Notamacropus eugenii: one gene and its partner. Each later gene encodes a partner of the first gene's protein in a complex. Links are inferred from orthologs where the notes say so. Each region holds a gene or a part of one and is shown in the gene's direction. Other genes may lie near its edges.

Region 1 (7,782 bases):
ACAAAGGTTTCTAGTGATCTCTCATTTAAAAAAAAAAAAGATTATTATTGATTGTGAACTTGACACAATCACAATTATTTCCATTTACAAGGAAAAAAATTTTAAACTGACTACATGATGCAGGAAATTCTTCCCTCCCACACACAATATACAGTTTAAGTTTTGGGGTTTTTTGTGGGGGAGTGGTAAGTAAAACTTAATATGGTAGTTCCAACAGTGGCCTCTTTGTCTATGCTACTTCTGCATTTTCTTCTGTTTCTTGAAATGATTTATTAACATTTTTCCTTAATTAAAATATAGCTATCACCACCCCTCCCTGACTCTCCCTTATCAAAAAAATGAAAAGTAAAAGCCCACCCCCAAAATAAATATGATCAAGAAAAAAAATACAAATTCACACATTAGCCATGTCTAAAAATATGTCTCATTCTGCACCTCTGGTTCACCATTTCTATGCCAAAAGATGGAAACTGGTTCACCATCAATCTTCTGGAGGTGTAATTGATCATTGTGTTTGTCATTCAAAGTTGTTTTTCTCAAAAATGCTGTAGTTCTTTCTAGAGAACTGTTCTTTTCCACCACTTTATCTGCTTCACCCAAGAGACGCCATGACTTGTAATGCCAATATGATGCCCATAGCAGCTGCTACGAATGTGCATATGTATTCCCAGGGTTTGTTTGCAAATTGTAATAAACTGTCCTCCTCCACGACAAAGCGGAAATATTTATTTGGAATAAGGCTATTAGCAGACTGGAAGGCAGGATTTACCAGTCCAGGGAGTGTCAGCATTTTTCTCTTTCAAGCCTCCCAGCTGGCAAGTTCCCTAGGCAAGTTGCTCCCTCAGCCAGTTCCTCTCTCCACCTGCTTCTCTCTTCACTTACATCTTTGCCTCCAAGCAATAATTATTAAATAGTTACTGATTCTCTTTTACCCTGGAACCCTGAGGGTCTTCCCCTCCCAGTTTGATTTTTTTGTTATTATTTTTTTATTAAAAGGGGCCATCCCTTGAGTAACTACCTAAAGAGGCCTATTCATTGAGTGGGTATATCTCACTCAAAGTGAGTATGTGATAAGACCTTAGCCTAAAATGGCCAGGGTCTCCCACTGCATCCTGGGCCATCTCCCCTCATACTGATGAATATCAGGTCACTGGACCCAGATGACTCTGGAGGAGAAAGTGAGGCTGGTAACCTTGCATAGCCCTCCCTCCCTCAAATCAAAGTCAACTACAAGTCATATCATCATCTTGATGTCATGGACCTCTTTGAGAAACGAAGGACAAACACATAACAACACAACAATATACACTGTTTATAATCAAAGGCACTTAATTGGTTTAGTGCCTAGAAGCTTTGAAATCAGCACTTAATTGGAAAGATGTGGGAATCCCTGTGGCCTAGAGCCTAATTGGCTCTGCATCAGGGTTCCATGTGAGGCCTATTAATGGGTGGGGGAAGATCTTATTTCCCATTGACCTTACAGACCTGAATCAGGGAGAGAGGGGGGACTTGTTTTCTCCAGCTTACCTCTCTTTTGTCTGGTAGCGTGCTGGTTTCTGTTCTCTCTAGTTCTGCTCACTTCATTAATTGTCATATTTGACAATTTGCTGGGTGTGACGTGGAACTCAGAGTTACTTGAACTTAAACAACTTACTAATGATTTCTTAATTGCAAAATCTAAATTTCTCAATCCTAAATTTCCTTCCTGTCCCCTCTGAAAGCCTATGCATTGCTGACCACCTCCTTGTCCTGTATTCTCTCTCCCTCTCTCTATCTCTGTGTGTGTGTCTCTATGTCTGTGTGTGCATGTCTGTCTGTCTATCTCTGTCTCTTGGTTTTCATGACACTTATCTTTTGATTTTCTTTATGCATGTGTAAGCGTAGGCAAAGTGTGATTTTTTTTTTCTGGAGTTCACTTTCCTAGTCTCAGGCTAAATTATAAACATCTGAAGGATGAATCTCCTTTGAACCCTGATAATTCACAGCTGTACTGAGTCATGTAGGTTTTTTACCTTCTGGCTCTGAGCCAATCAGGGACTTGGTCTTTTTTATATATTCTGGGAATTTGGCGTTTTACTTTGGGGGCTTGCTCATGAGAAGGACCTTTGGAATCCCTGGACAGGACTCTGAGTAATCCTTTGTTAAGATCTTCCCCCCAACTACTCAGATGTTGGTGTTCTCTCAGTCTGGTGATATATGTAGGTGGTTGTATTTCTTTGTTCAGACAGAGCCCTGTCTGTTGAACCTCCTTGCTAATTTCTCTGTTTGTGTTTTCTATACTCACTTCTTTTTACTTATCTGTAATTAAAGATTGTTGATCCCTTTGAAGCTATCTTTCCTTTAGAAAAGCAGATCAAAGAACCTGTACTAACAGGCCATCCTATGCATGCTATTGTGCTTGCTAATACAGCATGTCTGACTGATCCTTCTCATCTTTCCTTTGTTAGATTTTCATATAGGTAACACTAATTAACTGTGGCTGTTCCTTCCCAAACTCTGTCCTGGGCCCTCTTTTTCATTTTCTCAATATTCTGTTATAAACTCTTCTGCTCCCATAGATTAAGTGATCATGTCTATGCAGTTAATTCCTAGATCTTATATGTGCAGCCCCAGTCTCTCTCCAGAGCTCCAATCCCTTTTGAACTGGCTATCCCATGGCAAACAAGCAAGTTGTTTAGTCATGATCCAACTCTTTGTCACCCCATTTGGGGTTTTCTTGGCAAAATACTGGAGTGGTTTGCCATTTCTTTTTCCAGCTTATTTTACAGGTAAGGAAACTGAGGCAAATTGGGTTAAGTGACTGTCCCCAGGGTCACACAGTAAGTGTCTGAGGTCAGAATTTGAATTTAGAAAGATGAGTCTTCCTGACTCTAGGTCTGGTGCTCTCTCCACTGCACTACCTAGCTGCCCAAGAGGTCCCAAAATAATCTCAGATTCAACATGTCCAAAACAGAACACATAATCTTTTCCCCCTAAACACACTCCTTTTCTGAATTCCCTATTACATTTGAGCACTACAGCCTTCCAGTCACCTATACTTACAATCTCAGTGTCATCCTCAACTTATCACTTTCCTTCAATTCTATTTATGTACTCACTTACCAATTGTTGTTGCTTCTTTCTCTACAGTATTTCTTGGATACGTTCTCTGACACTCTAATCACATTGCCACCATATTAAACCAAGCCCTTATTACCTTTCTCCTGGGCTATTGCAATAAATTACCTTCTAACTGGTTTCTCTGCCTCAACTCCCTCCTCATACAGTCTGTTTTCTAGTCAGCTGCCAAAATGACTTTCCTAAAGTGCAGATCTAGCCATGTCACCATGAACCCCACCCCCCCAGCCCTGCCACCTCCATACCCAATAAACTCCAGAAGCTCCCTACTACCTTTAGGGTCAAAGATATACACGGAGAATGTTGCAAAGGATGACACTCACAATTTAGCCCTTTGTGGCACAGTGAATAGCACACTGACTCTAGAGGTAGGAGGACCTGAGTTCAAATCTGACCTCAAACACTTACTAGCTGTGTGACCCTGGGCAAGTCACTTAATCCTGTTTGCCTCAATGTCCTCATCTGTAAAATGAGCTGGAGAAGGAAATGGCAAATCCCTTCAGTATCTCTACCAAGAAAACCCCAAATGGGGTCACAAAGGAGTCAGATATGACTAATCTGAAAAAAAATCTTTCTAGTCTTTTTATGCATTATTCCCTTTCATATCCACTCTGCAGTCTAAACACATGTATGATAAAGCCTCTCTGTTTCCATCTTTGATCTTCTGCTGTCCTCCTTGCTTTCCCTCCTAAGCTGTGCTTCTTAAAATTCCTGTCTTTCTTCAAGACAACTCAAATACTGCTTTCTGCAGAACACTGTGGTTAATTTTTTTTTGTTTCTGTAATTATTTTGTGTTTTACATATTTACAGATATTATATCTCTCTTCTGCCTCTTCCTCAGTAGACTATAAACTTATTGAGGGCAGGAAAAATGTTTTAGTTATCTTTATTAATCCCAGTGTCCAGCCCTGGACTACACAGGGCATTTAAAAATTATTTGTTGAATTAATTCTAGACCAACTCCCATACTGGTACAGAAAGAAACAGTCTCAGAAAGGTGGGTTAACTCACAGTCAAATAGCTACTTGGTCCCATAGGCTATTTGCACTAATTCAGTATTTGTTTTGAAGTGTGGGGAAGATTTCAAAATACTTTCTGTTAAGTTGAAAAATGAGATTCAGTCCTTGGCCTGCATTTAAAGACCTGGGTTCCCTCACCACCATGCATATCACTTCGTATAATGGTCTCACTTATGTAACTCTACACCCCTAAAACTGAACTAAATCCACCAGTTTACTCCTAACCTCCAAGGTCTTGACCACAAGGTCACTTCTGCATCCTCTTTTTCATTTCCTTCTTTCTTGAAAGCCAAAGGAAATCATGCGTTTTGCCTCACAGCTTCTTATCTTTTGAGTGGTTTCCAGATACCCATCTTTGGGGGAGAGAGCCTTGGGAGTGAATCTGATGAGGGCTGGAAAGGAGGAGTGAGACCCCCCCACAAAGACCAGGGGCAGGTCACCTGGAATGAATCTGCAGACTCAAGTATTGTCGAGGTCAAGGTAAAGATTTATTACGCTTTTCAGTGGGCAAGAGTTCCTAGGGAACCTGCAACCTTAGAGGGATACAAGGAAAGTTTTTACAGGATATTCTATAGGAAACATGGGCCAAATATGCTAACTAGGTATTTGGGGGTGGGATTAGGGAGTAGTTAAGGAGTGGTTGGTTCTTAAAGGAACATGCACTTTTGGTATCTACTGTGGAGGCATTTTACACAGAGTTCATCAGGAAATAGCCCAAGATGGGACTTCCTAAAGGTGTGGTTTTAGGCCCGAAACATCACTAAGTCAACCAACGGTCAGAGCTGACTCAGGAATACCAGGCTACTCTCATCAATGTCTTCTTAGACAAGATAAATGTAAGGGAGTATACGTACGTCTAAGTCTAGGATACGTACGAATATTAGTCAGTGAGTAGTAAATGTCATTATGACCTAGTGCAGAGTCAGTCCAGCCAGTCCACAGCTAGTTCAGATTAATAAGTTCTATAGGTGTAGCTGGCTGCTATGGCAGGAGGGGAGATAACAGTTGTTGCTGGGGCAGGTTGTGTCCTTGGGCTGCGGAGACACTGCCTGGGATAGTGTTTTGAAGCTAGGGAGGGATGTGACTTTTAAAGAGAAATGTGATTTTAGAATTGGCACCCAAGTACCCCATTAGATTTGACCACTAGATGCACTGAGAGGCCTCCAAAACTCAGAGCCCATCTCCTTCGGGAAAAAAAAAAACAAAAAGAGTTATGGATAGAATATACCAGGAAGGTGGGAAGAGGGGCTAGAAGTCTAACATGGAAGGCAACAGTTGCTGAGAATTAAGTCATGAGGACCTATCAGAAGATCTGAATCAATCCTTTGATGCCATACAGTGGGAGTGGCAACTCCAGGAAGGGGATAGCAGGCCAAATGAGAGGGTAGTTCTGGGGACACTTTCTACATCGTTGAGGTCACTTTCTCCCCTACCCCAGTTAACAGTGGGTACAAGCTCATCAGTTCCTTATATACGACTTTCTATTTAGGTTTTATTTACCTATTCTGAAATTCTGTCAGCTAGCAGTACCGCTATGTGGTATATGCTTTATTTTTGAAATTTACGTGTGCACACACACACACACACACAGACAGACAGACAGACACACACACACACACAGAAAGACCGAGACAGAGAGACAGGGGAGATAGGAGACAGGAGGTAATATGTGCACTGAGTCAAATGAAGGATACTTCCTTTCACTAATACTGTGGGAATTAGAGCAAGAGAGAAATCATTATGGGCTGGAGTAGTCAAGGAAGCCCTCATGGAGGATAAGAGGCTTATGTTCAGCCTTAACAGATGGGATAGACTAGAGAGACAGAAACAAAGGCAGAGAGAAAGACAGAAGGACAAGTAGACAGGCAGACAGACACAGGAAGAAACAATCAGCAGTAGCCATGAGGACAAAGTAGAAGGGTAGTATTAAATTGTACAGTCCTGGCATAGAAATTATCATTCAAATATGTCTAAAAATAAATTGCAAGCCAGGTGGAGCAGCAGGCTTTTAGGCATTGAGATGTGAATACACTTACTCCTGTTTTTCAACCACCAGCCACCATTCTCAGAAGGACGGGATTTGAGGGAAGAGGCAGCTGAATCAAAGTCAATGCTTCCAAGCCCTTAGCACATTACCCAGTCCCTAGAAAACTTACTGACTTCACCAGAAGGAAAGGAGCCTCTACCTCCATCCATCCATCCTGCTTCTCCACCCATTGTGGCCACCAGACTGACCTTCCCAATTCACAACTCTGATCATACCACTCCCGGGTTCAAGATCTTCTAATGGCTCCCCCATTTTTCCATAAAATAACTTTCAAAAGCTTTAGCCTGGCTTTTAAGCATCTTCACAATCTATCCCCAACCTCAAATTCCACCACTCTGTTCAGACATTCCCTGTACACCAGTCAATCTAGTCTTACTGTCACTGAGAATATCCTCTCACCTCTGTGCTTTTGCTCCTGCAGTTCCCTCTACCTGGATCACCCCATTCTCTTCTTTCTGATTCTCCAAGTAAAACAAAAACTTTGTGAGGGCAGACTATTTTCATTTTTGTTTTTGCCCCAGCACCTAGCAAGTGTCTGACACAGAGCAGGTGCTTAAAAATGATTGTTGAATTGGAATGAATTGCATCAGCATCTCTAACCCTCCCTTGAGGCCTCTTATCCTCTGAGAGGTCTTCCTTGACCTCTCCAACCCAGTTCAACCTCTTCCTTGCTCTAATTCCTACAGAATTAGTAATCCAAAATCGGGAAAGGAAGGAGGAAGCCCCCCTAGGGGGCGGGGAAGAGTTCCTCTCTTCTTGCTCTCAGGTGTCTCTCTCTCACCCACTGCTGGACACCACTACCAGCTCTCCTCAGTGGGCGGGTTCCCACCACCAAAGCTCCAAGGAGACTGGAGGGGGGAGGGTGGTGCAAGAGTCAGGAGGACCTGAATTCAAATGTCACCTCAGACACTTGACACTCACTAGCTGTGTGACCCTGGGCAAGTCACTTAACCCCAATTGCCTCATCCTGGGTCATCTCCAGTCATCCTGATGAATATCTGGTCACTGGATTCAGATGGCTCTGGAGGAGAAGTGAGGCTGGTGACCTGTACGGCCCTCCCTCACTCAAAACAAAGTCAAGTGCAAGTCATGTCATTATTTCTCTGATGGCGTGGTCTTTGGCAACAAAGGACAAACACACACAGAATTAGTGAAAGTAAGTATCATTCATTTGACCTGTGGCACATCTTGCCTCCTATTGTTAGCTAACTTTCATGTATATTGGTCATGTCTCCTAGTCTGTAAGGGGCTGAGCCCCCTCGTGGGGGTCGTTAGGGACCATTCCAGTGACTGTGATCTCTGCTAGAATGTAAAGAAGTTCCTTGAAATAGGAACTGGACATTTTTGCTTGTTGATCTCTGTATCCCCAGCACATTGTGCTGTTCTTTGTACGTTCTTATTCGTCTTTTTTGGGGGGTGGGGCAGAAGTGGGGAGGATCCAACCTGAGATTTTATTAGTCTGACTATATGGAAACTCTTTTATCAGTATGGAAACTTCTTCATTTGACATTCAACAAGGGATCAGCAATTTATAGTTTTAGGAAGTTGTTAATAGTTGTTTAAGTAGCTACTGTGTACTGGGAAGAACTTGAACCTAGG
Region 2 (7,089 bases), about 210 Mb from region 1:
CTTCCCTTCCCTTCTCTTTCTATTCTTTTTTTTTCTCTTGGAGACCTCATCAGTTTCCATGAATTTAATTGTCATTTCTACGCTAATGACTCCTAGATCTATATATCCAGGCTTAGCTTCTCTCCTGAGCTTCAGACCTGCATCGCCAAGTGACAACTGGAGATTTCAAATAGATTTCCAGAGAAATCTGAAATGAAAGATTTCCCAAATGGTCTTAGAGCAAAGCAATTGTTAGTAAATAGCTAATTGCTTGTGATAAAGTATAGACCTCTTTCATTTATAAAGCAAAAATCATATTGCACCCATAATCATACCTCAAGAAGGCTTCTAACCTGAGGTATTCAGGGTGATTATAAAGAAAGAATCTATTTAAGACTGGCACAAGTCTGGATTGATAAAAGTAAAGGATTAATGAATAAAGGTCATTGCTATTCCACAATTCCTTTATTCATCTCTAATTGGACAGTATGCCTTTGTAGATAAAAAAATTTACTGAGCATCAGGAATACCTGGTTCTGCCTTTGACCTATACTGGCTGTGTTACTGTGAGCAAGTAACTTAAGATCTCAGGATCCAGATAATTCTATCAGCCTCTCTGCTCATGATTATTTCCACTAGATCTTGTGTATAGCTCATTTATAAAATTGTTTGCATGATGTCTCTCCCTTTAGAGTGTGAGTTCCTTGAGAGTAGGGGCTGTTCTTTATATTATTTTGTATCACCAGTGGTTAGAATAGTACCTAGAACATAGCAGGGGATTAATATTCCTTTATTGACTGACCAGGCAACTAAGATTTCAAGTTATGCAGCTACTAGGCTGCATACAGATTACATTACATTACAGATTACATTACAGATTAAAAAATTTGCATTCCAGATTAAAAAAACAAATTAACTTCCTAGCAAAATCTTTTCCAAATGGTCCCTAATCTCTCACCCTTAGTAGATGAGCTTTCTTCCTACTATGAGGAGGCCCACTCAATGTGACCTACTTTAACATCCATTATTCTTTTCCACCCCAAAATTTTCTTTTATCTTTGCCCATCCAGTCTCCCTTCCCTGTGTTCTTAGAGGAAATGATGGTGCTTATTCTTAACAGAGAGGGCTATGTCACAGTCCTCAAACCTCTCAGGACCTTGCTCTATTAATTATTTCTTTTCTGTTGCATTTCCATCTTTCTCTCCCTAGTAATGGCTCTTCCTCTGGCAAAAAAAGCAAACAAACCTGGTTTCTGCTGTGCTTAACAAACATACAAAATCTTTCCCTTAACCTAGTTAATATGGTCACCTTGAACTTCATCTTTTCTCTCCCCTTCCTTTCCCTTCCAAATTTTCATCAAGCACAGTCCACTTTCTCCTTCCACCCCTGGTGATCTGGTTTCCAATTCCATCATCTTGTGAAAGTTGCTGTCTCCAAAGATACTGGTAATCTCTCACCCCTCTCCCCTAAATCTCATTGTCTTTTCCCAGTCTTCTTTCACTTTGACCTCTGAAGATTTTAACACGACTGACACATGTGTAGCAACATATCACCTTTAACACCCTTCTCATCAGTCTTCACCTGTCAAAATTCTATTCATCCTTGAACATTCAGTTTAGATGCCACTCTCTTAAAGAAATCTTCCCTGATCCTCCTAGTCATAGCCTCTTATTCCACTGAATTTCCACAGTACCTTTCTACTCTTTTATAACACTTGTAGTATTTTATTTTGTAATATATTTTTTGTGAACATCTTAATCCCAGATTATAAACTCATTAACATCAAGAACCATGCTATTTTATTCTCTGTGTGTCCCCAAGATGTTTAACATAGTAGCTTGTGCTTAACATTTTCTTAATATAAATATGTTCAACACGAATAAATAAATTAATAATTGTTCTTGGATGTTTGCATTCCTTTAAATTTTGCTCTGTTCTATTTACTTGAAATGAAAATAAATATTCATTCAACTCAATATTTTATACTTAGTTGTTGTTCAGTTATTTTAATATGAAAGAAATATAATTGAGTGAAAAGAGCATTAATCTCTGTGTCTGTTTTCACCTCTTTTTCTGTCTCTCAGACTCAGTCTCCGTCTCAGTCTCTGTCTCTTTCTCTCTCTAGTTAAGGTGCTCATATTAACACCATTAATACGCAGACCTGATCAGAAGTCCTAGAAAGCTCACAGAGCTCTTTCGTCAGAAGGCTTACCTCCTGTTGCGTTTTAGGACCTAAGAGACCATTCACCACCTAAAAGCTTGGGGGACAAAAGTGCTTCATTGAAAGCATCTTCATCCTTATCACTTCTGATTATGTAGTGCTTATACAATGCTTTAAGTTTTACAAAGCTCTTTACGTATATTATTTTGGGCAATCCCCACAACAACCTTGTGAGTAGATGATATTATTTCCATTTTACAGATGAGGAAACAGACTTCATGGTGAAGTGATCTGGGTCATAATGCTGGTAAATGACTGAGAGATGATTGGAGTTCAGGTCCTCCTGAGGTCAAGTGTCTCCAGGGCCTGATCCACTAAAGCACCCATCTGTAATCCTTCATGCTCCCCACCTCCTGGAGCATTTAATTGACCTTTCTGGCCCTTCAGACGTCCATCTACCTAGCCTTCTTTGGGACCTCAGTAGTTTTTTACATAGAGTATCACTGGGGCTCAGTCTACTATACAAAGCCAAATGGGAAATTCTTTAAGAAGGATTTGATAATTGAACTATTAGAAATTGCAGGAGGAAGGAATGATGGTGGTAATGGAATGAAGATATTTGGTCACTAGATCCATTTCTCCCCATCCTGTCTCTGTCCTTTTTCTCCCTACTTTATCAGGAAAATTGGGAGCACAGTGACTGTCACAGAATAAGGACTAAGTAAATGCTTGTTGATTGACTGGCTGACAAACTCCTGGCTCTGACATTTAGTAGCTGTATGACCATGAGCACATCACTTTATGTGTTTGAGTCGCCGCAGCCACAACTGTAAAATTGGAATAATCGTATTTGAACCTTCACAGGATTGTTGTTAAGAAAGCACTTTGTAAATAGCAAAAAACTACACAGAACCAATTTTTTTTTGTTTGCTTTAGACCAGACCATCAATCTAGGAAGCTTCCTGTGAGGAAGATCACCTTCTCCACAGGTCTTCACCTTCTCTGCAAGTTGTAGCCTGCGGATGCTAAGAGGTTCAACAACTTGGGCAGGGTCACACAGTCAGCATTTGCATCTGGGGTCTTCAGGATCTCTAGGCCAGCTCAAGGAGTGTCAAACATAGGACTCACAAGTGCTACCCTAGTTAAATTAAAATGTAATGGAGAAATATTCAACAAAAGAAAGAAAATGCAGTAAAACATTGATATCACTAATATGAAGGCAGGTAGATGCAGCAATGACTAGAATACCGGGCCAGTAATCAAGAAGATTTATCTTCAGGAGTTGCAATGTGGCCTCAGACACTTACCATCTGTGACCTTAGGCAAGTCACTTAACCCTTTTTGCCACAGTTTCTTTATCTGTAAAATGAGATGGAGAGGAAAATGACAAACCACTCTAGTATCTTTGCCAAAAAACCCCCAAATGGGATCATGAAGAGTTGATCATGATTCAACAACAGTAACAAAAATATTAAGATGCCGTATTCGAGGTCTATTAGATGCCAGTAGGAATCTTTATGTTTAGTGATCCCTAGTTCTATTTTGTTTGACACCAGTGAGACACCCTTCCTCTCAGAGTACTGAGAGATCACTTTGATTCCCTACTTATCAAAATCTGGGTAAAAAGCTCATTCCTCTGAATTGCACAAAGTTTCAGAGAAGAAATGTGTTGTCAAGACTTCCTTTTGGAATAATTATTAGTCAAGAAGTCCAATTTGCTATCTCATCTCCTTTTCCCTGTCCCTCCCCCCCCCCCTTTTTTTTGCTTCTAATGGGAGAGACTGCCCCTTGAGTGACCTGCTTTTAATAAGCTTTCCAACCAGCTCCCGACTTAAAAAGTGCCCTTGCTGGTGCTGGCTTCCTCACTTTGCCCACTTGCCTCCCTCCCTCCTTTCACTCCCTCCTTCCATTCTTCATTTTCTCTCTGGACTCACTCCCTGTCAAGGCTTAATTGAGTCCAAGGGAGGATCAGGTTCCCTTGCCTTGGAGTCCAGAAATCTTTCATAGCAAGTCCCAGCAGGCAAGGAAAGCCACAGCTGGAAAAGGGAAAAGGAAGAGACAAGTGAGTGATCCTGTCCAGAAAGGAGAGCGAGCAGCTGGAGAAACAGCTTCCTCAGCAGCAGCGGCGGCGGCAGCAGCAGCGGCGGCAGCAGCAGCAGAGGCAGCGGCGGAGGCAGCGGGGCTGTTCCTGCCCGATCTCCTGTCTCTAGAAACCTAGCAGCCAGCCTCATCTCTCTCCATTGACCAGCGGCCAAAGCAGGAGAGCGGAGATTCCCAACTCCAAGTAAGTAGGCGCAAAGGGAGGAATGTTGAATTTCCTCAGAGTTAGTTTGCAATCACCGCGCCTTTGGATTTTCTGACTGCAGCCCGAGTGTTTGGTGGTGTGGCTCCGCTTGAAGTAGGGGAGATGAGAGAGGTCTTACCGAACGTGAAAGGAAACTGAGGCAATCACGGGTGATAGCGCTTGTGGGCCACTTGGTATCTAGGCTTCATGGATATTAGTATAGTTTTAAGGCTGGTGCTGAGAACGCAGCCGGATTATGCCTCAAGTGACCTCATTAGTTCTTGAAGAAGGTTGGCGCTTAGCAGGTGGGTGAGGGGTAGTGGATGAAGGTAAGGCAGCCAGGACATAGAAAGGATTTTCTTTTGCAGCTCATGCCCTTGCGTCTCCCCAGTGCCACAGATGCTCCCTAGAAGTTTATCCTGACCAGTTTACCTCCGACCAGTTGGGGCAGGAGTTGGTGGGGGGCGCTCCATCCTCGCTCAGCCCAGTGATGCTTGCTACTGTTCACAGGGCAGCAGCTGCTCTTTGGCCAGAGTAAGGGCACCGAGCAGAGGCAGTCGGGAGGAGCGAGACACTTTCCTCATGCAGAGAGCACTGGATTTGGAATTCGAAAATCTAGGGGTTCCAGTTTGGGCCCTGACACTTTGTGCTATGATCACGGGCAAGTGTTGAACTTCTCTCGGCCTCATTTTCCTCATCTGTAAAGTGGGGATAACAGTATTTGCCTCTCCCACCTTCCTAGGTTGTTTGACGGAAAGCCTGAAAATTCATAGAGGAAGCGTGTATTATTAGTGCTATGATGAGGAAGCCTGGAAGCCACAATATAGAAAGATTAAGTTCCAAGCTTAAAAAAAAAAGATTGATTTCCATTCTCTTTATCTCCTCTTCTGATTGCAATTTTCATTAAGTTCCTCAAAGAAAGACTTGAATTCTTGATTCTTTCTTAAATACATAGACTCAAAGACTGGACACTTAGACAAACTCATTAAGTCCGTGTGTGTGTTTTGAATTGGTTTTGTTGAATAAATCAATGCGTCTAAAAGAAATAAAGGAAAAAACCCTGATTTTCTCCTTCCATTTGCTCCCTGACCCCATGAATTTAATGACTGTTTTGCTGTTCCCTCTGATTTAGTAACTGCTTTGAAAGTTTGGGCATACCTGGGGTGGGGGTTTGTGTTGAGGGAAGAACGCAAAATAAAGGATCTCGAAGTTCCATTGAAAGTTTTTCAACCTTTTGTTGTTGTTTCCACCCCTCACTGGTTTCTTCTTACCATATGAAAGCTGAAGGGATGTGGAGATTCAGGAGATATCTGGGAGTTTTTTTGAACTAATAGGATAATGGAGCAGTTCCATGATCTCAGCTAAGTGTGGATTTGCTGAAACAGCAGAATTCTATTTAACCACTTAATAACATCTTCAGGTCTTAAGGCTGATCAATATGTAGAAATATAGAAGGATGATAGATGGAGAGACAAAAAAAGGAGAAAAATAATCCCAGTATAGAAAAAGAAACTTCCTCTACCCTTTTCATTAAAAAACCCCCAAACTCTAGTGTTCTTTTTACAGACCCATGTGTGCTACCAAAGTAATGAAAACATATAAAAGCCTAACGGACCCAAAGGAGAATGGGGTAGACATGGTCTACCATGCAGATAGGGATCTGCTTTGAATTTGCTTCCCTAGGATTTCAGGTTCTTTCAGAACAGAAAGAAATACATGTAATTTTGTATTTGTTAGAGGCTTGGGATTTTATTTTGTTTTAGGATTAATGAATGGCTTTCGGATGTGTTTTGTTTAAAATGTGTAATAGTAATTATATCTATTTATATGTAATCACACATGTTTATACACACATATACACATGCATGCAGGTACATGTACACATGAGTCTTTACAATATGCACATATATATTCTGCATACACACATGCGCACACACATACATATATGATATACTCACAAAGTAATATTTGCATATGTACATGTATGTATTTATGGATACATGTATAATACACATATGCATATATCAGAGGTAGAATTTGAACTGTGCCACATATGTGTATATTGATATAGGTACACACATATTGTATACACACATATAATGGATAAAGTTCAAATTCTGCCTGTTCATTAAGGACAAGTCATTTAACTTCTGTGTGCCTTAAATACATCCTTAGGATTTATTTAGTAAGAGAGTTTTCTAAGTTAATGAAACTGTAGAACCTTCCTATCCATCTCTATTTGTGTGTCCATGTATGTGTATGTACTTTGGTTTAGATTTTTTCATTTGTATAGGGAATTCTCAGAGAGGAAAATCTCTCTGCTCATGCACATTGTTAACTTTTCTACAGCTTGCCATCTTTGAGAATTGCCTGGGACACTGTTAGATAAAACCACTGGCCCAAGATCACACAGTCAGAATGTGTCAGAAATAGAATTGGATCCTAGTTCTTCCTGAGAGACTTTATCTCTCTGGCTCCACAGCACTGCCTTCCATCTATGTATTCACAGACATCCTTCCTGTACTCTCACACACCATTAGAGGTTTTTCTCAAGAGATCTTATATCTTTGGGGAGTTTCTCTCCCCATTCTTAACCTGAAATCATAATCTTATTGATTTACTCCAGTTATTTTCTGCCAAAACAAATGAATAAAAAATTAGTCTA

Evidence for each region. Proteins that work in one complex are often made in the same cells at the same time.
Region 2: the proteins of integrin alpha-M-like (region 1) and PTN are in contact, whole or in part, in an NMR structure (PDB 8VOH), measured with the Homo sapiens proteins. The link is inferred for Notamacropus eugenii from reciprocal best matches to the Homo sapiens genes ITGAM and PTN. Residues at the interface, in NP_000623.2 of Homo sapiens: Pro273, Asp276, Arg277, Gly279, Val280, Ile281, Arg282, Tyr283, Lys306, Pro307, Arg309, Asp310, His311, Ala334, Ile335, Glu336, Gly337, Thr338, Gln339; in NP_001308315.1 of Homo sapiens: Val56, Pro57, Thr58, Ser59, Asp61, Cys62, Gly63, Leu64, Thr66, Glu68, Thr79, Lys81, Thr82, Gln83, Arg84.

Annotation. Positions count from the first base shown.
Region 1 is NC_092874.1:319,269,189-319,276,970, forward strand, and holds the start of integrin alpha-M-like, read left to right. Parts: upstream 1-4,521; 5' UTR 4,522-4,616; intron 4,617-7,782.
Region 2 is NC_092874.1:111,945,658-111,952,746, forward strand, and holds the start of PTN (pleiotrophin), read left to right. Parts: upstream 1-3,968; 5' UTR 3,969-4,424; intron 4,425-7,089.